Rattus norvegicus: one gene and its partners. The protein of the gene in region 3 interacts with the protein of the main gene of each other region in a pairwise test. Links are inferred from orthologs where the notes say so. Each region holds a gene or a part of one and is shown on either strand. Other genes may lie near its edges.

Region 1 (7,905 bases), on a different chromosome or scaffold from region 3:
CATATAAATAAATAATTATTGAGAGAGATTGATTGATTGATTGATTGATTGATTGATGCCTCTCTGTTATAGAGTAGGTGGGAAATAAAGCAATGAACTTGAGACATCCTGAATGTGGGATCTAGAATTCAGGCAACTTTTAACTGTGTTTGGAAAATATTCCAGGGACAGCCTCCTGCAAGGCTCAGTTCAGATGTCTGTGACTAAAGAACAATTTTCTCGAAGAGTTCTCAGGAAATCCTGGGGTTTACTAGCAACAAGGGGCAAACCTCAGTTCTGAAGTCAAGGGGTGCCCTGGAAATCCCAGATGATACCTTTTTGTCAAAAGCCACATGCGCAGGAACAAACTCTGCTGGTGCGGCCTGCTTGAGTGGGCCATAAGTCAAGATGGGTGCCTTATTGGCCAACTCATCCAGCTCAGCCGGAGACAGTTGGTTGTAGGGGAGCCGGTCTCCACCTATGCCCATGGTTGGACGTCGGACAAATGCATAGCCATTCCTGTAGCCGAGTGTCTGGCTTCTGTGGAATGCTGTTTTCTGAAGGAAAGAAGTATGCCATTAATAACCTTGGGTAAATCTTTAAGTAAAACAACCAACTTCCTAAACTACCATAACCTAAATTTGTGCTTTAAAAGTACATTTTTAAAATTATGTGGATGTGTGCCTATGAGTGAAGATGCTCTTGGATCTCCTGGATGAAGAGGTCCAGGTAGCTGTGGGCCACCCATGGTGGGTGCTGGGAATGGAACTTGGGTCCTCTGCAAGAGTCGTTCTTGCTCTTAAACGCTGAGCCATCTCTGAAGCTCCAAATGTTGGCCTTTTGGCACCACGAAACGTACATCAACGTGTTTCACTGCATGAAAAGGCTCTGTATTTTAAACTGAAATGCTCCGGTCAGGAGCAAGGAGGGAAAGAGAAACCATCTAAGGTTAAAACAAAACATCCCTGCTCTGTGACGTCCGACTCATCTCTACCGTACCACTTCACCTATATTCTAGTTTTTATTTTCACTAATTTTGTTTTTCTTCTTCCCTGGAGGTCACGGACTGTGACCTTAGAAGATCTGCTATCCTGAGGTTCGCCTGTAGCAACAACTCTTCTTATCACATTGACACTGACACGTTCATTCACAGACGTCTTTAAAAAGCAGCTTGCTGGCATATGTGGAAACACCCGGCAACCCTGTTCTTGTGCACTGATTTCTAAAGTACATTCCAGAGTTATGGGAAACAACACTAGGCTTGAAGCTGATCATGATAGTGACAAAGATCTGTGCGTCTAGGATATTAAATGTTGGAAACAATTTAAACAACACAATTACTATGCTGGAATTAAAATGGTTTTAAATGCCATGCAGCAGCCTGGTAAAGTCTCTACAATTTATTAAGACAAAAAAAAGAGAGAGAGAGAGAAAGCATCATATAAAATTATAGAAATACACTATAATTGTAAGCATACAAACTGGGGTGGGTGAACATCCTGAATTAGGTGTTGCTAGATTATGTTCTTGTTCTGCCATCAATACACATCTGTTTGTCATTGGAAATTAATAAAAAATTAGATAAAGAAAACAAAGTTGAAGTTATATTAATTCAGTGGGGGTTTTTATGTTCTTTATGGGGTTGCTTTCTAATTGTATGCACATAATATAGTTTACATATTTGTACACATGGCTAACAAATAATCAAACTTTGTTTTATTAAGAATAGAGGGGCTGGAGAGATGGCTCAGCGGTTAAGAGCACTGACTGCTCTTCCAGAGGTCCTGAGTTCAAATCCCAGCAACCACATGGTGGTTCACAACCATCTGTAATGGGATCTGATGTCTTCTTCTGGTGTGTCTGATGACAAGCTACAGTGTACTCATATACATTAAATAAATATTAAAAAAAAGAATAGAAAGATTAATTTGACTAGCTCCCAATTTCCTTGGAAAGCAGACTATGATCCCTCTCATCTACTACCATAAAAGGTTGAGTATTATGGACTATTCTGCTAAAACAGTATGGACCACAGACCTTTCTTTCAGTGTCACGAGTTCTGGGTTACAAGTCAGTTGGCAGAACTGTCCCCCGTGCACAAACACAGGACAAGGAATAACATGTACTGAGTTGGGCAATACGATAGCTTCCAGTTCCTCTCTGCTACCTCTAAAGTCAGGGGCAGTATCATTAGAGGCTGGGAGTACTCCTTGGTGATGGTGCACTTAGAACAGTCAAAGACCTAGGTTCAATTCCCAGCACCGAAACTGGGTAGTGGGGCTGAGGAAGGGGGTGGCTTGGTAGATAAAGGTTACTTAGCACCAAGTCTGACCACCTGATTTTGATCCTTAGAACCCACATGGTAGAAGGAAAAAGATCAACTCCCGGAAGTTGTCCTATGAACTCTACACACGGTTCTACGGCAGCCCCTCACCACCCCCACCCCCCACCAAACCATCCCACGCAATATGAAATGAAACCAACATCAGTAAGGTCAGTTCGTTTTCTGAGGTTAAAAGATGTCTCTAGCATCAGTCAACTGTATCATGGGGCACCCAAGACAAGGCATTCTCGGGCTTCCCACTCTTCTTATTCATCGGGGTTCACCTTCTGGACACATTTTCTTCGAAGTTACAACATTCCTATCCTGATGACAACAAGGTTAGCAAGCTCTTCAAATTTCAAGGAAGAGTAATTAGCTGACAGTCACTCGGTATACTTCATAGGAAGTGTGTCCAAAGACACTTCATCCTGCCATATAAATAAAGTCTGGCATTTCTATCCTCCACACTTCTACAATCTCACAAATCGACTCCACCCTTTCCTCGTGGGGTTCTCCACCAAGAACCCAAACTACTGTTGTTGTTCTGCTTTGATGTGGGGTGCACATGCCTGTGCACACGTGCACACACAACCCACACTCACCCATAGCAAATGCTTACTCGGATTCTCTACAGCACAGGACAATGTCTACAATTTTAAAAATCACGTAACATTTAAAAAGTTCACTGAAACGGAGAGTCTATGGCGCTGGCTAGGCACCGCAGGCTAGACTTCTTTGAATCCAGAACTTGAGAAATGGCGGCTGGAGATCACTGTGAGTCTGAGGACAGGTTAGGTTACACAGTGAACTCCAGGCTAGTCTGGTTCAAAAAGAGAGAGACCCTGCCTCAAGCAAACAAACAACGGGCAGGGATCATGCTTAACGAGTTTGCATCTTTAAAACAAAAATGACCCTGCTACATCTTAATACAAGACTAGAAGAGAGTCGGAACCCAGTCTCTTGCCACACTTGCAACTGAAATTGAAACTGTGTCCCCTAGAAAACAAGGAGATGAGATAATTTTCCTTTAGAAATGTGAAGAAAAAGCTAAGAGTCTGAATCATTAAACTCTATGAATGTAAATGACTACTGGCGTGCCTATGGTCATCTCCACCAATCTCAATGTTGACTCTTGAGAATATTTCTAGCACTCTGATAATTTTTTTAAAAATGCAGAATGCATTTGAGAGTTGGGGTTGGGAGTGTAGCTCAGTTGGAAGCGTGTTTGCCTGGCACCCACAAAGAGCTGTCTTTGGGGACCTGCCTGTATTTCCAAACTCAGGAGCCCAGAGGATCAGTTCCAGATCAGCCCAGACAATACAGTAAGTGGGAAGCCAACCGGGGCTGCTTCAGACCCGGTCTCAAAAGAAATGGATAAATAAATAGTTAACCTATGTTAAGAGGAAACCAAGAACCCAAATTACTGTTGTCACTGGCTTTGATATGAGGTGTTGTTGTTGTTGTTGTTGTTGGGGTGGTTTGTTCCAAGCATGTGTGTGTGTAGGTGTGTGAGTGTATGTGTCTGTTTGCATGTATGTGGGGATACACATGAAAGACCGAAGTTGACATGGGTAGGCCGCATCAGATAAGGGCCAATCTAGCTAACTGGCCGTTCTAGCTATGGTCCTTGCTTGGGTTCTTGTGGGTTCTAGCGAACTCTACTCCTCTCATGAGAGGAACAAGTACTTTATCCTCTGAGCCCCTTCCCAGCCTGACTTATGCTTCCTTTTCATGTAGCTCTTGTTCTGTCTGTTTTGGATCTGCTATTCTTTGGAGACAGGGACTAGCTATATAGCCCAGGCTAGACTCAAAGTAGCCATCTTTATGCCTCGGCTTCCTGAAAGCTGAGATCACGGATGTGCATGACCACTCTGGACTTGTTTTTATTTAATTTCATCTAGACGATGAATAAAAAAATACAGCCAGGGCAATGAAGTAAAATACAATCTGAATAGGAGCCCTGTGTGTTGGCATGTTTTTAATTCCAAGCATTCTGGAGGCCGAGACAGGTGGTTTTCAAGTTCAAGGCCAGTCTAGGCTGCAGATAAGATAAAAGACCCCCCCTATACACACACACACACACACACACACACACACACACACACACACACACACATACACAATCTGAAAAGGAATCATGTATGTATATACATACATATATCTTTATATCATATATACATGTATTAAAACACAGGCTATAGAAAAACACCAAGTGGTCTATGTGGTTAAATGAGGTGGGAGAAATACAAAGAAAGGAGGAAGATGGGAATGTTTTACAGAGGAAAACTACAAGAAAAAACAAGTTGAGGGGTTGGCACGGGTGGGTGGTGGGTGGGTGGGTGTTTCAATTCTAGAGAAGGCTGAAGCTGGAGAGAAAAGTGACCCTTAACTTAGAGGGTCAGAGAATGGGGGGAGACCCGTCAGGAAAGAAGTGCATGGGAAGGGTGCGTACACATTGAGGAAAGGGGGCTGAAGGGCAGTGATCTTGAGGATTCAGAAGAGGCCAGACAGATCAAGAATGAGGTTGCTGGGGAGAGAAGGTAGGAGAGGATGAAGGCACTAAGTAAGGTTAGAGTGCAGCTGCGGAGAGGCCTGGAGATGGCCTAGGGTAATCGGGCCAGAAGGCAGGTAGATAGGGCAGGAAAATAACAGGGCCTCTGTGAGCCCAGGAGGGTGAGTGGACTACCAAGAGGCCGAGCAAATTCGGCAGAGGCTGGGATGCGTGCGGACGGTGGAGCCTGCAGGATGAAGGAGAACAGACGTGCGCCAAGCGGAGAACCCTTCGGGCTGGCCCTCACCGTGGAGTCCGTAAAGGACGAGCCCGGGAGTAAGGGCAGGCCGTGCACCGGGTTGGTCACCATCGCTGCCCCGCAGTTGCCGCCACGGTTGCCTTCTGCCGCTCGGGTTGCCCTGGCAACAAACAGCACTCGCGGGCCTCTGCTGACTCCAAGGTAACGCCAAACACACTAGTGGAGGGAGGGGAAAGGCGGCGGAGGCGGGGTGGGTGGTGGGGGTGGGGGTGGGGGGGAGGTGGGGGTTGGGGATGGGGAGGGGAGGAGGAGGAGGCGGCCAGGTCTGCGTCTGCGCACAGCACTACTGCCTCTAATAGCCTTAACTGGACGTGGCTGATGGGTGTGACAGAGGCTGTCCCGCCCCTTTCTTTCCCATCCCTTTCCTTTCTCCTCAGTCCCCACTTCCTGGGTCCCAGAGGATCCAATCTAGGAGCAGCAATCTGTAAGGCTGTTCTTAGGCCTTGGCTCGCCCAGTGAGGTCTGGGATTGGACCACGTCCTTTTAGAAGAGTTACAAAGAAGTTCCCTCTCGCTCCCAGTTCTCCCAAGAGCTCAGGCATCCTTTCTCAACTCTGGGGAAAAAGCTGCTATCCTAGTCCACACACAACGTACCATGGTTGCGCTAAGTACTTCAAACTCATACTTCTTGGAGCTGGAGCTGTGGATTAGATTATAATTGACTACATTTCCGTTGCTCAGACTTGATCAGTGAACTGATTTGGAAGCCCCCATCTCCCCAATCCCCCAATTTCCTGGTCTTCTCTCAGCTGTTTATTCCACCGTAGATTCCTGTAAGTGCGCAGAACTTTACTGGGTAACTGTTGACTGAGAAGTGCCTACCTTAGTCCCTACTTCATACCTATAACATCAGTGAAACCTAAGAACCTCAGAGGAAGAGAGACCGACTCAGAGAAAGAAGCAACTTGGGTGAGTGAAATGTTGTCAGTGTCATGTGTACTAACAAGTATCAAACTTTATGGACAACCTAATTTCCTTTTCAAAAAAAAAAAAGACCCTGAAAGGTCTTTAAAGAAAGGTAAAGGAAGAAACCAAGAATCCATCAGCATGGAGAAGTTAAAAATAAAACGATGCCCAGAGATTTGGTTCCCATATGTCTCAAATTTCCCAGGATTCTGGTCTTTATGTTTTCTGACCTAGGAGTTTAGAGAAATGATAGAGTAGTAAGCCCGAGAGAGAAGACATAGCTTGTTGTCGTGGGTCACCAGTTCAAATGGCAGCTGTATTAGTCAGGGCTCCCTGGAAGAACAGAACTGATAGAATGAATAAACACGTATTGATTGATGTTGGTGCTGAAGTAGAGAGAGAAGCTCGCCAAGAGGCTAAGCCTTTATTTCCCGAAGGAGCAGAGGGGTTCGGCCTTTTTGGACTAGGCTGACACCCAGCTAACTCACTCCAGTTACTTTATTCAAAAAATATGCAAGGTTGATTGGGGCTGGGAAGGTTCGAGCTACCAAAGGTATCTTGCCCTTGCTGCTCAGGAGTGCAGACAACCCTTTTGACCATGGCTAGCCATAATTGTAAGTAAGGACTCCAGGTTTGCCAGGAGTACCTTAAGACCCAGATTAGTGCAGCTGCAAGTTCTCACGTAGGACCAAGTACAAATTCTCCAGAGCACCCAAACATAGCAAAGGCTTTGCTGAGATATTTTATTTAAAGTCAGACATAAAGGGTTTACTGTACCTATCAACACACACACACACACACACACACACACACACACACACACAGGGACACCCTGGATTTTGGCTTACAGGCTGTTGTCCAGCTAGTCCAACAATGGCTGTGTACCAACAGAGGGTCCAAGAATTCAGCAGTTGCTCAGTCCACAAGCCTGGATGCCTTCAGTATATGCCAGAATTCCAAAGAACTAGGCTCTAATGCCAGTGAAGGAAGGGACTTGCTACTGAGAGCAAGCAGACAGAGAGCCGGCTTCCTTCTTCCAGGTCCTTTAGATAGGCCGCCAGCATGTGGCCCAGAGTAAAGGTGGATCTTCCCACCTCACAAGGGCATGTCTTCCCACTGGAAATGATTTAAGTAAGGAAAATCCCTCACAAGTATCCCCAGCCTCTTGGGTTTTAGCGAATTCCACGTAGAGTCAGGTTGACAACCAAAAATAGAACTGTCTGCTTTGCCCTTGTGGCTGCTTATAACAGCAAATCTTCCTGTGGGTTTCACTCGCTGGCATGAAGCTTTGGGGTCAGGAAAAGAATACAGTAAGTGACCTCTAAAGTCGTTACTGGAGACTGCTGTACCTACTCACAAAATTGTTTTCTAGTACTTCTTCCTTTCTACTATTGTTCATTCCTGTCTGCCTCTTCCTCCTCTTCCTCCTCTTTCTCTTCCTCTTCCTCCTTTTCCTCCTCTTCATCTTTCTTTTCCTCTTCTTCTTCGTCCTCCTCCTCCTCCTCTTCCTCTTCCTTCTCCTTTTCCTCCTCTTTCACCTTTTCTTCTTTTGAGACAGCATTTCATTGTGTTCTCCTTGCTGACCTCCTGGAATTCTCTGTGAAGCCCAGAGATTTGTCTGCCTCTGCCTCCTAACCCTGGGATTAAAGGCCTGCATCACCACAGCTAGCCGTGGTGTTTCCTCCACCTGATAGTCTGCGTTGCATGTCCCTTTTGCCCTAGTGTACACATTAACTTAATAAGGAACTCACCCTCAGTATTTAATTAAAACCCTCAATGAGTTGATTAGCATCAGGGCAGTGACTGGAAACTTTCAAAGCTCCCGCCGTTGCACCGTACCACAGACTGGGATGGTGACTGAGAGAATTAATCATGGTGAACATCTCAA
Region 2 (7,904 bases), on a different chromosome or scaffold from region 3:
AGCGAGATAAAACGAGGCGTACCTGAGAACTTCGAAAAGTTTCGGACAGGCATGATGCGCTGGCGGCTCTTTCCTTCAGCTTCATTCTCATAAATCAAGATCATGGCCGGAGGCTGGAACCTAACTCCACACTTCTTGGCAATGTATTTCATCGTCTCGTGTAACTCAGGGTAAACTGGAGATCTCATACAGATAGGACAGCTGTGCAACAATTTCCTAAGAGAGGTCAACCACATCGAGCTAGGTGTTGAATAAATCCTTCCCCATCTCCTCGGTGGATCTGGCTGTGGACTAGCCCCGTGATTGTATGCTCACAAAGTTCCAGACTTTGAGGGATACCCTGAAAGTTTAGTCTGGTCCAGGCTAGCCTCAGCTCGTCGGATCTCTGAGTAGGTAATGCCATTCTGTCTGGACCCCTTAGTGTGCTGCACTCGTACCAGAGATTACACACAAACCTCCCAGGGGCCCAAGAACTGACCTGCTGGCCTTCGGAATCACTTTGATGTTTCAGTTAAAGGACTTCTGAGTCACCCTCTATGTATACGTTCTTTTAAACTTTTTCCTTTTTCGAGACACTGTCTCGTGTAGCCCAGATTGGCTTTGAATTTGTTATGAAGTGGAGGATTACCATGAATTTCTGATCCTCCTGTCTCTGCTTCCCAGTGTTAGAATCACAGCATGTGCTATTAAACTTGGTTTATGGGCTGCTCAAGACGGAACCCAGGGATTTATGCAGAGTAGGCAAGCATTCTTTTAGCTATGCTACGTCCCCAGCACTTTCCGCTTTATAAACATTTTGTACTGAGAAGTCCACTAGACCAGATGTAATTGCCTTGTGCTTTCCAAATTCATCCAATTCATTCTTTCTTTCCTTTTCTTTCTTTTTTTTTTTCAAGATAGGGTTTCTCTGCCTATTCCTGGAACTCTGCAGACTAGGTTGGCCTGAACTCAGAGATCTGCCTGCCTCTGCTTCCTGAGTACTGGGATTAAAGGTGTGCACCACCACTGCCTACCCCCACCATTCTTTTATTCATCATTTTTACTTACCATGTATCCTCCCTGTTATTCTATTTGCTCTAGGAAGGCAGGAAGTGTGTCCATTTTCATTAAGCTCTTAGTACATGTCTGGAACATAATAAAGGTAATACTTGTTCAGTGCTGTGTATTAATACAAGCAAAGTTACTATATATTATCCTGGGGCATTGGGGCAGGAGTCAAATGCTGGTACACATTGTTATATAATATGAAGTACTGTTACAGGAATTGTTAGTTTGTGTTGAGGCTTCTCTAAGACCATGTAGGCCAACATTTTCACAGGTCCTTCTCTTAAACCTAGCAGCCTGGGGTGGAACTGTCAGCCCTTTACTCTTAATAGCCAGACTCTGGTTCCTTCCTTCCTTCCTTCTTTCTTTCTTTCCTTCCTTCCTTCCTTCCTTCCTTCCTTCCTTCCTTCCTTCCTGTTTCTCTGAGGATACTACAGAAGCATAGCTGAAGACAGTCATCAGGAGCACTCCACCAGTCTGCACAGGTCTCAGAAAGCCCGGGCTGAGCGGAAGCCTCAATGAGCATTAGGCAGAGGGGCACTCATCATGTTGGCTCCGCGGCAGGTCTGTGATGCATGAAGGGATGTGTTGTGATTGCTGCAAATATTCTGGCCTCTGTCCACCTGGCAGCTCACTTCTGAAGTCACCTGGATACACCCTCATTGTGCTGCTCCCAGCGTTACATGCTATAACATTAGGCTCATTTGAAAGGCTCTGCGAGTGGCCTTTTCCCTCCTGCCTTTGACTGTTAGTATTAGCAGACCAGACTGAGCTATCGGCACAAGGAAGACAAGGTTAGAACTGGCACACTGGTAGCAGCTTCCAACTAGTAACAGTTGAAGCCCCAGGAAGGCTTCCAGAGAGGAAGCAAATAACTGAAGTGGAAACACTGGAGTAGAGGCAGAGGAAGCTATGAGAACTAGGTGCTGAAGAGTTTCAGGAGGCTTCCTGGCCTTAAGCGGTAATACTAGTCATTGTAGGAATGAAGTGTCTGTTGTTATTAAAATCTTGTTGTTGTTAAATATCGGCCTGTACCCATCCAGATAGAGCACACCAAACCAATACGGTTCCACAAGGAGAGATTTATGAAGAATGAGACTAGGGGAAGGGGCAAGAGAAAGAAAAGAAAAGAGAAGGAAGGCAAAGGAAGTCTGCTTTTTATTTGGAATGTGATGTAACTATTCCCAGGTCGAGGTGGGAATTGAGCCAAAAGGTCTTCTGGGAATGTATGGCTGTTGCCATAGCAACAGTGACCAACCGTTGCAGCTGTTGGAGGTAAAGGCAATTCCTGATACCAACAGTGTCTCAACAGTCAAGGCCCCCCTCCAGGATCTGTAAGTCCAGCAGATGACTGCTGCTCTCACTCACAGCCGCTGGGCGCTGAGCATTACAGTGGCTGGCAAATGCTTGCCAAATGAATGCCAACAGCATCCAACCTGAGCACCCAGAGCCATGCGTCACTAGCTTCTAAATCAGGAGCCCTAAGTCCCGACCTCTCAGTGTTTGGAATTGCAATCATCTAGTCTGCTAGTCCAGGCCTTGGACACTCAAGGGCCTGGGAACTTCTCCTACTGATTTCTATCCAGTTAGAGCAACATGACCCCAGCCAGCTGACAGGTGACAACCGAAATATCAATCACAGTTAAAATGGCGGATCTGAACAGGCATAGTGTCTGAGTTCTGTAATCCCAGAACGCAGAAGGCCAAAACAGCAGGACTGCCCTGAGTTCCAGGACAGCTGTTTGAGAACTCTGTTTGTTCCCTTACGTCTCAAGAAAAAAAAGGGGGTAGGGGTGGTGTGTAGATAATCAGCCTCTCCATATGCAAAACAGTAATGTGTATGTGGCCTTTACTACAGCTCATTTGTCTGACTATGGTACTTTTCCAGGTATAAGAAACGCAGATATTTTCAGATTAATACTTTCTGCTCTCTCTTTCCTTCTCTACCCTCAGTGGCAAAGTAGTACACTCAACTTTAAGAATGACTTAGATTCTTACACTTGCATAGTGGCTATGGTTTGCAAATGTTGAAACTGGATTGATGTCATACAGGTGAAGGCAGGTACAAGATAGAACGAGGCCTGTCATTGGACGAGAAGGAAGGATGGGCGGGAGAAAAGTTTTAGAGAGAGGAGGAGACTGGAGGAGGCAGGAGAAGCAGCAGAGAGAACATGGAGGCTGATGTTAAGATTCCTCTCTGCACATTTACAGGTTGTTATGAATAATCTTTTTTTTTTTAAAAAGATTTATTTATTTATTTCATGTATGTGAGTACACTGTAGCTGTCTTCAGGCACACCAGAAGAGGGCATCAGATCTCCATTACAGACGGTTGTGAGCCACCATGTGGTTGCTGGGAATTGAACTCAGGACCTCTGGAAGAGCAGTCAGTGCTCTTAACCTGTGAGCCATCTCTCTAGCCCCCTGTTATGAATATTCTTAAGGGATGGATGTGTACAGGGCTTTTTGTATGTCTAGGTGAGCAAATTATATATTATCAATTGTATCGGAGGTTATTGTGTTGTGTGTTCTTTCATGTTTTAAGTTCAAGAGTATATGTGGTGACTGGAGACGTGTATTTCTGGCATGGTGGCAACCTGCCTTGGGAACTAGATGGGTAGAGAGACTGTTGTCAGGCTCAGAGAGAAGCCATCAGCAGTGTGATATGGGATTGAGCAAAGCGGGTGAGAGGAAGATATCTACAAGATATCTTGGGGCACTAAGGTGCTGGACCTAGTGTGGGATAAATTAAGGCATTTTTAATAATTTTACAGCAACAGAGGTAAGGTAGCATAAGGTAATAATATCTTTATAAACTTAGTTCTGGTAGGAGGACAAGTCTAGGTGCACTGTTTAAGAAACTAACATTATGGGGTTGGGGATTTAGCTCAGTGGTAGAGCAAGGCCCTGGGTTCTGTCCCCAGCTCCGAAAAAAAAAAAAGAAACTAACATTATATTAGTTCGTTATAGAAAAATAGGGGAAAATGGGAAAGAGAAAATGAATATTCATCTAGCTTCTTTTTTTCTAGCTATATATATGTGTACATACATATATGCATAAATATAAAAACTACGGTTTAGTTTTATATCACACATATGGTTTCCTTATTAAAATGAAAATTTTACGGTTGCTAGGTAGACTTATCATATAGGGTCATCATCTGTATTTTCACCCCTAGTGATAGATATGAGATTTTTACTCAGGTTAGTCATAATAAAGAGCTCCTTTTCATATTGCTGTGGTTTGCCTTTGATCTGAGTCAATGACCACTCACTATTCCCAGATCACCTCACTAAAGTGTGATGTTAGTAAACTTTCTAGAACCTTCTAGACACTCTCTGGTCTACAAACACAAGCAAATGGCCACATTTGTGAATAGAGTCGATTATAATGTTAAGGTCTTGACTATGGAGTTTTCTTTTTAATTTATTGTTGTTGTTGGTATTTCAAGACAGGATTTCTCTGTGTAGCTCTGGCTGTCCTGTCATGGTCTCACTCTATAGACCAGGCTGGCCTCAAACGCGGAGATCTGACTGCCTCTGCTTCTCCAGTGCTAAGATTACCCGGCTTTTTGTTTGTTTGTTTCGTCCATATTTCTTAATAGCCTGTTTGTAGTGTTATATTACACTATCTTCCTACTTTTGAGAACTCCGAGCCTTCTGATCTGTAGTATAGCACTCTCTAAGCCTGCTAACACATTCCGCAGTCGGGAGGAATGACATCATATTTAACAAATGTACTTTTATCTAATATACTTTTTCTACCAGGGATCAAGTACTGTGCTCCCTAGAGCACCTAAGGGGATACAGAGTTTCCGATTCATGCGCTTACCAATGCAAGGAGACCCTTCCTACCCTCCGCGGCCCTTCTTACCCTTGAAGACGTACAGGACGTGAAAATCTGAACAGCAGTGAGGGGATGGTTTCCATCCTATCGCCTTGCACAGAGGAGCACTTAGATCGACTTTGAGGCGAGGTGGAGCCTGACCCTGCAGGAAGCGGCGACAGCCATAGCCTACAGGAGTAACCATGGGGTGAATTCAGCGGCAGGGGGCCCGGCCCGCACGCATCCGGTTGAGGACAGGAAGCGGGGCTGAGCGCGGCGAATGCGGTCCTAAAGCAGCTCGTCGGGTCCAGGGCCCGCCAGGGCGCCCCAAAGATCGTTCTCTAGGCAACAGCGGGGCGCGCGAACTGCGCTTGCGCAGCCTCTCGCCCCGCCCCGGCTGAGATGACGAGGGGCGGGGCTAGGGGCCGGCCTCTCAGGAACCTGGAGTTACAGGGGGTCCTAGGGTGGGAGCGCAAGGAGCGTTCTGTCCGGGTCACCGTGGAAGGTGGGGGTACGCTCTGCGTGCTCAGGTTCCTCCCGTGACCGCAGCTTGCTCCGCGCGCCCCTCTCGGGCGTCGGGCTCCGGCGTCCTGGCTGCCAGCGCCCTTGCCTGGCTGCTCCTCTGGGCAGCTGGGCTGGTCGGCAGGCTCGCCGCAGACATCAGCGACGCCCGCTTCAGCGATGGTAAAGGTCAGGGGGCTGAGGTGGGGAGCATTCGCGGTGCCTGGGGTACCAGAGTCCAGAGGAGGTTAGCAACGAAGGCTGCGTGCGCCCTTTCCTGCTTGATCTTTGCTGGGTGTTCCATCCCGGGCTTCAGAGCCTGGCTTTGTCTTCCCGAGGCGGGACTGGCCACGCTGTGACTAAAGTGCTAATAAACAAGAACAGCCAGCCACGAAGCACCTTGAGATGTTTATGGTTCCCCTTAAGATGCTTTGTGCTAGCTGAGAAGCAACGAACCCTCGGCAACCAGCGAAGTGTGAGAACGCCCAGACAGCATGTATGGGAGAAGGGGTGAGGTGGTGTGTTATGTGACACACTTCCTAGAGAAACACGCACGCACGCACTACTCACTCCAGAAAGGTAACCTTTGTACCAGTGTCCGGTCTGGTAAACCAATTAATTTTTTTTTTTTGGTTCTTTTTTTCGGAGCTGGGGACCGAACCCAGGGCCTTGCGCTTCCTAGGTAAGCGCTCTACCCAATTAATTTTTTTATTGGCTTTACTAGTAGGAATATGGGTGAGGGGTTTCTTACTAGGAACAAGGATAACTCAAAAGAAGTTTCATCGCTCATCCCCAAATGGGTGGCTCCTGAAAACTGCAACCCTGGAGCTCACTAAGCAACTTCCAGGCAGATTTCAGCGCCAGCACGATTTTCCCCCCATCTCTTTTCTCTCTGCAGTTTGCCCCCAGCAACTGTTGACTCCCTGTTGGTAGGACCCTCAAGCTTCTCCCATCTGTTTATCTCCTGGCTTCACGTTACTGAGTAACAGGTTTATCAGTGATTCACACTGTGTTTTAATGTTCTTCCCACACATTTCTAGCCAGTGTTTTATAGCAAGGTATCTGGCTACTGAATCTTTAGGGTTTTTTTTGTTTGCTTCTTAATTTGTGATATCTGAGAAAGGATCTCTCTTGGAGCTTGTATGTAGACCAAGCTGAGTGCTGGCATCAAAGGTGTGTGCCATCTTGCCTGTCTTGAATTTTTAGTCACTGAGTAATTGTTTTAGTGGCCAAAAGAAGCATGGAATCAGTTTATGAAGATTTCTGTTTATTCCAAGTGTGTAAGTGAACTGTTTGAATCTTACGTGCCCCTGATTCTCTTACCTTGCCTTTCTTTTCTTTTTTTTTTTTCTGGAGCTGGGGACCGAACCTGGGGCCTTGTGCTTGCTAGGCAAGCGCTCTACCGCTGAGCTAAATCCCCAACCCCCTTGCCTTTCTTTTCAAACTCTCCTAACATCTTCACAGAGTGTCTGTGTACAATTTTCCAAGACTTGTAGATATGGACATATAAGAATACAGAAGCTGCGGGGTTGGGGATTTAGCTCAGTGGTAGAGCGCTTGCCTAGGAAGCGCAAGGCCCTGGGTTCGGTCCCCAGCTCCGGAAAAAAAAAGAATACAGAAGCTGCTGTATTATGTATTAAACATGATTTGGTGAGCCGGGGTGATGTCTCAAGGTCACATGATCAAAGTCCTTTGTGTATGGTAGCAGCTTTCTGACTGTGTCTACTTGTGTTGAATACCTCAGACATCCACAGAGAGGACTGGTCTTACTCAAAGACAGCTGTTAAATGATGGAAAACAGAGAAGCCAATTCCAAAGGTGTTCTCAACCTCGATGATGTACTACTGGGAGTAGATTTCTGTGTAGCTGAAATGTGTACATTTAAAGTTTTTACCTTGGGCTGTTGGTGGTTAGGCTTTTCTAGCAAGTAAAGCTTACTGTAGTAGTTATTTTCTAACTACTTAAGATTTCTTTCCTTGAATGTATTTTCATTTTTAACGTCTTGATTTTTATAGGTGTAAGGGCCACTTGTTCTGAAATTATTTTGAGGCAAGAATTTTTGAAAGATGGTTTCCACAGGTAGGTTGCCCACTGGTTTCTACTTATATTAAGTACTTTCTCATCATTCACAGCAATAAATTAATAGTTGAAATATGGATAAATTGAAAATTTGTTTCTAGGGGTTGGGGATTTAGCTCAGTGGTAGAGCGCTTGCCTAGCAAGCTCAAGGCCCTGGGATTGGTCCCCAGCTCCGGAAAAAAAAAGAAAGGAAAAAAAAAAAGAAAATTTGTTTCTTTTTTTTTTTTGCTTGTTTGTTTTGAGACAAGGTCTCATCTAGTCCAGGCTGGCCTCAAACTTGCCATGTAGCTTGAGATAACCTCGAACTCTTGATCCACCCAAAGGCTGGGATTATAAATGTATGCCACTAAGCCTGTCTTCCTTTTTCTTTTTTTTTTTTAAATATTTATTTTATTCATATGAGTACACTGTAGCTGTCTTCAGACACACCAGAAGAGGGCATCAGATCCCATTAC
Region 3 (8,092 bases):
AGATTTCCCTGAAACTTGTAACAATCCTGCTCCAGTCTCCTAAGTGCTAGGATTATAGCTGTAAGTCAATAAGCCTGGTTCTGATTTTCTTTTGCCAGTTTCTTTTTCCTAATCTCTTTGGAAACTAAGGTACTGTGTACTAGCCTGGTGTGATCTGGCGTGATCCTTTTCCCTCCCTTCGTAAGGCAGCCTTAAAGCTGTTACATATCTGTTATGGGCATATGTGGCAGAAACATGGACGGACATGTTTGTGTCTTTCTACAATGTCAGAGTGTACTGAGCAAAAATAAATTCACAACCTACATCGGTTTTGTTGGCTACAATTTCCCAAGTCTCCAGCAGACAGTTGGAAATCAGTTCTTTTAACTGTAATCATTAGCCTTGACTCTTAGATCACATAATACATACGTGTGTGTGTGTGTACACATGCATGTATGTAACAGGTTAAATGATGTCTGAGAAAGGGTAAGAGAGGCTACAGAATCCAGAGGCTTTCCTGAAGTCAAAGGCAGAAAACAGATGCAGGCAACAGGAAGAGTTTGCATGGGTTGGGCAAGACGTCTTACAAACCGCGGCCTGGAGTTGTTCACATTAAATGCCAGTCCAAGTGACAAGACATTTCTAGGGTCAGTCTGATGTGAGCTGAGTGTCACCTGTGGGAGACTCTTCGCTTTATCTGGAGACTGATGTGGAGGCAAAATGAGTCCTTGAGGACTCATAAAGGCAATCATCCTTTATGAGGCTTATGACAGGTCACTGGGGGACAGTTAGCATGCCTGTCATGTTTTGGTCTTGGGGTATTCCTTCTTTTATAGTCCCTGGGTCAAGGGATTGATTACATGCAACGTGTTGCTTAGTTTGTGTGTGCTGTGCTTCTGACTACCAATTGATACATCTAGCTCTCGGTTTGTGTCTCGCAGTGTGCTGGCAGATAACAGTTGTTTGCTTGTGTAAGCAAGATGCAGACTCACTCTTTCTTGGCACTCATACTCAAATCGGAGTAACTCTGGTCATGCTTGTTGCTTTGCAAAATGGAATAACTCAAGGCAACTGTGGTGGTTTGAATGAGAATGCTCTCATTAGGCTCATATAGTTTAACTTGGTTTAGAGTTGGTACTATTTGGGAAGGATTAGGAGGTGTGTCACTAGGGGTAGGCTCTGATGTTTCAAAAGCCATTCCCAGTCAGCTTTCTGCCTTGTGGTTGTTGTCACAAGATGTAAGCTCTAACTACTGCCCCAGTGCCTCCATGCTCCCCACCAGGATGGCCATGGTCTTGCCCTCTGAAACCATGAGCCCTCAAACTCAATGCTTTCTTTTACAGATTGCCCTGATTGTTCCTGTGTTTTATCACTGTAACAGAAGAGTAACTGAGGTCATGAGGCTTAGCCTACAAGGTGATAATCCACATCATAGACTTAGTGAGAGCAGGCCCAGCTGAAGATGCCTGGGTCACTCCTGGAAGGGAGCCAGTCAACTCACAGGGGACTTTGGCTAACTTATTAAGCCCGAGGTTGTCACTGATAGACCTGAGCATACTATAATCCCACTCCATGCATTAGCTAATACTCCATTTCTGTTTTCTTCAACACTCTTCCAAAAGTTTATCTCATCCGTCAGTCTCTCCTTAACCAGCTTCATTTCGGCTTTTATACTCATCCTCTTTAAGGCACAGCTCTCCACTCACGAATGACTTCCATTCTTTATTTCATAGGCAGTCTCTCCATATAGCCTGGGCTAGCCCTGAACTTTGGAATCTCTGGTATCAGCCTGCCTAGTCTTGGGGTTACTGGAAAGAGCTGTGCCACCACTTTAACGACTTCCGTTTTGTCAAACTCTAGTTCATTAAAATAAAAAAATCCTCAGCTGCTTTTCAATTTTAGCAGCTGACTCTGCCATCAAACATCCGGCCTTCCTTTCACCTCATCTTCTGCACAAACACTAGTCCAACATCATGGTTCTAAAATTTTCATTGTGGCAACAGCTTAAATGCCCTGCCCTTGCCCCTCGGAAGCATATGTTACAGTGTAACATACCAGCCAAGATAAAATCTCCGAATGAACTGGTGCATCAATTGCATAGAAGTTTCCAGGAGCAACCACTGACTCAGCTGAAACATGGCTTCCACAGTGTCCTTCTGTAGAGCCCAAATGATTTCTACTACCCCCACCACCTTATTTTTATAGAAATACTGTAATGTAAACATTCATGTACGCTTGTGTTTGAGACAGTCTCCCCATAGCTCTGGCTGGCTTTGTAAACTCATTAGATATCGGAGTGTGATCTTGAAACTCTGCTATTCCTACCTCTACCTCCCAAATGCTGGGATAACAGACATTGCCACACACTACTAAAACTTCCACACCAGTCTGTATAAAACCCAGGCAGCCTTTCAGGTGTAGAGTGACAACCCTTCCCCCAGCACAAGATCTAAAAATCTCCATGAGAATTTAAACCTCCCTTTGCTTCAAGATGTATCTTCCTAGTTACTTCTTTGAATAAAGATAGTAAGTAGAAACTGTGTCATATGGATATGGTTGTGTCAAAGGCTGAAGTGTGTGTGTGTGTGTGTGTGTGTGTGTGTGTGTGGTGTTTTGTGGCTCAACCTAGCTTAAAAGTTATGATCCTGCGGTTTTGGCCTCTGGAGTGCTGAACATAATTAACTCTGCCAACTGCTTTTTTTTTTTTTAATATTTAAATCTTTGAGGCTTGTCTACGGTTGTGTTCAACCTAAAAGACAACTCTATTTATACTCTTTGTGAAGACACTTTGAAATTAGCAGATTTTAATAGTTTCTTTCACTTTGGGGGAGTTCTACAACAGGATTTTTTCTTTTTGGTATGAGAGAATAGTATATATTTTAAATATCCAACGCCCCTCCCCCCACACGCACACTTTGGTGCCCTTTCAAGCGCACGCGTTTGGGCACATGCAGAGTTAAGAGGACAACTTTTGGAAGTTGATTCGGTCCTTCCCTGATCAAACTCAGACTGTCAGGCTTGGTGGCAAGTGGTTTCTCCCTAAGACACCTTGTTGGCCATACAAGTCTATTTCCCGTCCATTACTTATTTTAGTAAGTGACTAGAGAACGCAAGAGGCGGAGCCAGACAAGCCTGAGTTATTTTTGTTGTTGAGACAGTCCACCTGCCTCGGCCTCCCGCGTGCTGGGAGTGCGCTAAACTGGACTGGATAATCTTAAACTTAAATCGTGCGTTTCCTTTCTAGAACTCTAAAGTACCGACAAAGCTCCTCTGCTCCTCCAAACCCCAATCAACTCCAATACTCGTGTATGCAATGAAATGCTAATAGACCAAGAGAACAGGTGCCTATTAGCAAGGGAAGGCGAATAAGATTCCGCCAGACCTGTCAAAGCACTAAAAGTTCGGTCCAGGCCACAGGCTGTGGGTATCTCGGTCAATCTCTGGACGTCGTGTTCATTTATACAGGATGGGGCACCGGCCTCGCAGCGCAGCTGAAAACCTCTGCTAGGTAAAGACGTAATGTAGATATAGAGGGAAAATAAGGCTGCGGGGGTCCCCGTATGCAAATCTGTGCCTTACAGCCGAACGCGGGCGCCCGCGCTTCCGCACTTCCCCTCCAAAGCCACGCCCTCCGGCGCGGGGGCGGAGATTTGCATGTGCGAAATAGGGAATAGGGGGAACCACCGGTCGAAAACCCCGGGCGGGCCTCTGGCGGCCAAGGAGCGAGCCGGCTGCACCGCCCGGCCCGCCTCCGGCCACTCGGCCAGCGTAACGTCACGGACACGCCCCTCGGTTTTAAGGACTCCGGAGGAGGGGGATTTCTCAGAGGCCAGCGGCTTCTCACGCGCGGAGCCGTCGCCGCGCGCCCCCGGGAGCTCCCCGCGCGAGCGCGCAGGCCGCCGTGGCTCTGCCGGGAGCGGAGCGCACTAGCCGGAGCCGGGAAGCGCGCCCGCCGCGAGGCTCCGCCCTCGTCCCGGGTAGGCGGTGGCGCGGGTGACGTAGGCAGCGGGAAATCCCCCCCCGTTCCGCCGGGCGGTCCGCTCCGCCCCCTGCCCCTGCCGCGGCATCCTGGCAGGGCGACTCCAGGACACTAGTGACCGGAGCGCGAAGATTCGGGGGTGGGAAGGTGTGAGCCGCAAACCCAGAGGGGCCGGGAAAGAAGAGGAGGCCCGGGGGTGGTCGGAGGACTGGGGTCGCGGCTGCAGAGGCTGCTCGGCCTCCTCCCTGGCTGGCTGGCTAGTTGGCTGACTGACGGGCTAGCTGGCTGGCTGACTCACTCACTCACTGACTGGCTGGCTGGCTTGCAGCCTCTGGCCCGACGCTGGAAGCTGCGGCGAGCGGCGCGCGAAGCGGAGCCATGGCCTCGAGTGAGTACCGGGGCGAACACCTGCGGGTCAAGGGAAGGAGCTGTCGGGGGCTCGGTTTGGGGTTGGGACGGTCTGCCTTTCAAGTCTTTTCATCTGGCAAATTGTCAGCCGTTTAAAAAGTTACCTGCTCCAGGGTTTGCGTGTGAAATCAAAGCGGCGCAGTGTAATCTGATCTCCTGGTAATAGCCAGAACCTTCGAAATTCCCAGCCGCGTGCTTTTAGGATCACAGGGCGTAATCTCAGTAAAGGCGAGCAGAGAATTCTCGAGTTTAAAGACTGAGTGGGTATGGAGACCCGGTTTTACATTTTTAAACTAAAAAGAGGAACCTCCGGACCTCAGACGAGCTTTCTTTTTTAAGTCCAATCTTGCTAGTTACTGATGGCTCTTGGTACAGAATGTGGTGTGGCTGTAAAAGTCCTCAGTGGCGTTTTAATTCGTTCCAAGCGAAAGCATTACCTCCGCTCCCAGGAACTAAAGGAGATGCTTGTCTAGTTTATAGTGTAGAGACCTCGATCCACTCAACCCCTAACCCCAAACCTGCGCCCACATTCAGCAAGAGGGCGAGAGGATTTTTTTCACTAGGTACTGGTAGGGATGAAAATGTCATCATTTGATGTCAGTGTTTATATGCCACTAGTAAGTATTGGATCGCCTGCTTTGAGGAGGACACATTTATAAGAAACAGTTTACAGGACAGGGGCGTCTAGTATGACAGCCCTGCAATTTGTAAAGCAGGTGCTTCAAGCAGCTGAGGTGGTGGTGGGGTGCTTTCCATCGTGGGAGCTAAAATGACACCTTCAGTCTGTAGCAGGACTCTGACCCTTATCTTCCCAATGACCCACAGTAGAAGGCAGCCGACGTCTGGCAGAGAAGAGGAAGTAGAAAGCTTAGTGACCGCTTTAAGAGTTGAGCAGAGCAATGCCATAACTCCTGCTGTAGGCCGTAAAGGAAACTGGGGTGTTTCACATGACACTTGATTTCAGTTTGTCTGTGGTTTTCATGAGAAAACAAGTGTAGTTTAAAATATTTCAACTTTCTCTTTACCCATTTAAATGAACCCAGACTTTCAGATACTCTAGTAAATTCGTAAATTTAACTCGTGTTCAGATTAAGAAGCACGGAAAGGCTTTAAATGTTTAATTCATTGGTAATCCGAAAGAGATTTTTGTATGAAATGTATAGAGTGGCAAGCTTTGTTAAAACAGCTCTGCCCTTGTCTACTTAACAGGATTTTATTAATAGAGTGCACGACTGTAATGCTTGAAATTTTTCAACAGAAAAATCATTTATTAAAGGACTGTAAGACAGCTATGATTTTAAAAATTAATACGAATGCAGTTTGCCTAAGGACACATATTATGTGCTGTTATAGAAATGATTCCAAAAGTTAAAAGGGGGAACTTTTAAAAGAAATAGCAAGTTTTAAAGATTTAGAAGTTGGGTTGGACTTGCCCAGCTTCTGTGAAGCCCTGGGTTCAGTTCTCAGTACTGTCAGAAAAAGAAAAAAAAAAGAAAAAAAAAACCAACAAACATAGAAACAAATCTGAAACTTGTAGTGTCATTATCTTCTTGCTTTTTGATCTTTTGTCAAGGGTTGCACTAAATGAGACTATTTTAAATTGTAATTTAGACTATAATTTAAATTGTAGTTCGGTTATTTGAAATTACTAGGTGAAAATATAGTTTAAAGGAGCCTAGAAGCCGTATCAGTTATAAAGACCATATAAGAGAAAACTTATGAAATACATTTAAAGTTCCCATTCCATTTGAAGTCATTTAAAAGCATCAAACTGCTTATTTTATCATTATGTAATTTAGACTCTTGTTTTCGATGTAGTACTGAAACCTTGAGAAGTGTTTCTGTCGATCGCCAGGTATTTACGTCCATTCGTTCATTCCTTCTCCGGATGTCATATGTAAATAGGTGTGTGTAATTTAATAGGTGGTGCCTTATAAAGGCAAAGTGTCATAGATCATACTCTCATGAGCAGAATTCTATAAACGTCCTGAGTAGACAGGGTTTTATATGATGATTCTAATTATTGTTCAGGTAAGTTAGCAAATTAAGACCTCCTAGCTAGCCCTTAAGCTGACTTTCATTGCCTTTTAAACAATACTGTCCTTTGATTCTGGCCTTTTGATGAGATTAATCATAGCAGGCAAAGTGCAGAAAAGTGTTCCCGATCAAAGTCTGCATATTTAGGAAGTCATTATCCACGCAGTTCTATTCTATTTAAGTCACTTTGTGTCCATGTTTAAAACTACTCATTATTTCCTAAAAAGAACAAAATGGAGGGAGGTAGCCCCTTACTTTGTGAGGCGAGTACTACAGGTTGCTAATGATTGCCACCGTCTTCGGTGAGATGCACTTTTAAATGTAGAAAGTTTGTATTTAGTCACACTTTTCCTTGAATATGATTCTGCTGTGTCACATAACAGGAAGGAAGAAATTATCTTTGTAGACCTTACTACTCACTAACTTTTTGTGTGTGAATTGCAGTAACCCTCCCCCCCCCCATAAGTGAACATAGCTGTGGGACCGCTTACCCTTTAATAATGGAGCCGGGGGCTGGGAGTGGCTGGCTGAAACAAATGACTTCCTTTTTTTTTTTTTTTTTTTTTTAAGTAAGACAGCTCACAAATACAGATATTTCAGAAGCGAAGCACATGGGAAAGAGCTAAAGGTGTTATAATAATTAGTGAGGTAAAGAGAATAAATGGAGAAAATGATGGGGCACGATCACGATTAAGAACGCGGGATATATGTGATCTCTTAAGTACTACCTAAGGGACTCAATTGCATTTCATTCCAGTTTTCTCCCGTCTGTGTTCTATGCACGATCGTGTTGATGATGAGATCCTGTCTCAAAAGGAGAAGGATGTAGCTCAGTTCGTAGAGTAGCTGCCCAGCCTTAAGAAGTCCTGATCTGACACAGCACTGGACCAAGTCTGTGATAGTGGAGCCTGTAATTTCAACACTAGGGAAGTGGGGGCTGGAGGCTTACAAGTTCAAGACCAGCCTAGGCTACAAAACAAGTTAGAGGTTAGCCCTAGAGAGATAAGACACCGTCTTTTAAAAAAAAAAAAAAAAAGGAAAGAAAGAACACAATAGTTAATTTTCCCTAAACTGATCTTTTTTGGAATAATTGTGTTATACAAAAGTACCATGATTGTTGGTCTACAGGATAGAAAAGTTACTTCCAACTGGAGAATATGGACTATAAATTCTGAAATGTGTTTTTGCATGAGGCTTGTTATCAATGGAGAGTTCATTTTTATTGTTGTTATACTTTTGCTTTTTTTTTTTTTTTTCGCTTTTCAAGACAGGGTTTCTCTGTGTAGCCCTGGCTCTCCTGGAACTCTCTGTAGTCCAGGCTGGCCTCAAAAATCAGAGATCCACCTGCCTCTGCCAACCCAGGACTGGGACTAAAGATGTGCCCAACCACTGCTTGGCTCAATGAAGGATTTCTACAAGAAAAATAAATATAAATGAATGATATTACATGACAATATTTAGGTAATTCTTACTACTTTAAGTTATTTTTTAAAAAGTACTTAACTCTTAAGTTCTTTGTATTTTATAGTTTTATAAATACACTCTGAGGGGTTAGGGATGTAGCTCAGTGGTAGAGCGCAAAGGCCCTGGGTTCGGTCCCCAGCTCCGAAAAAAATAAATAAATAAATAGATACACTCTGGTTTAAAGAAATGTGTAACTTGCTTTGAATGACCCTACAATGTTTTTTA

What was found.
Region 1: the proteins of Rel (region 3) and Efhc1 interact in binary tests that used the Homo sapiens proteins (3 or more experiments, as listed by UniProt). The two-hybrid records come from large-scale screens. The link is inferred for Rattus norvegicus from reciprocal best matches to the Homo sapiens genes REL and EFHC1.
Region 2: the proteins of Rel (region 3) and Cep19 interact in binary tests that used the Homo sapiens proteins (3 or more experiments, as listed by UniProt). The two-hybrid records come from large-scale screens. The link is inferred for Rattus norvegicus from reciprocal best matches to the Homo sapiens genes REL and CEP19.

Annotation. Positions count from the first base shown.
Region 1 is NC_086027.1:30,869,567-30,877,471, reverse strand, and holds the start of Efhc1 (EF-hand domain-containing protein 1), read right to left. Parts: upstream 5,210-7,905; 5' UTR 5,164-5,209; coding exon 5,101-5,163; exon of another isoform or gene 4,937-5,100; intron 537-4,936; coding exon 315-536; intron 1-314. UniProt on the Homo sapiens protein: Microtubule inner protein (MIP) part of the dynein-decorated doublet microtubules (DMTs) in cilia axoneme, which is required for motile cilia beating.
Region 2 is NC_086029.1:82,186,824-82,194,727, forward strand, and holds the start of Cep19 (centrosomal protein of 19 kDa), read right to left. Parts: upstream 5,210-7,904; 5' UTR 4,932-5,209; exon of another isoform or gene 4,918-4,931; intron 1,126-4,917; 5' UTR 1,048-1,125; intron 217-1,047; 5' UTR 189-216; coding exon 23-188; intron 1-22. Other genes in the region: Pigx (phosphatidylinositol-glycan biosynthesis class X protein precursor), read left to right, coding at 5,460-5,553, 7,386-7,449. UniProt on the Homo sapiens protein: Required for ciliation. Recruits the RABL2B GTPase to the ciliary base to initiate ciliation.
Region 3 is NC_086032.1:101,917,915-101,926,006, reverse strand, and holds the start of Rel (proto-oncogene c-Rel), read left to right. Parts: upstream 1-4,068; 5' UTR 4,069-4,336; coding exon 4,337-4,346; intron 4,347-8,092. UniProt on the Homo sapiens protein: Proto-oncogene that may play a role in differentiation and lymphopoiesis.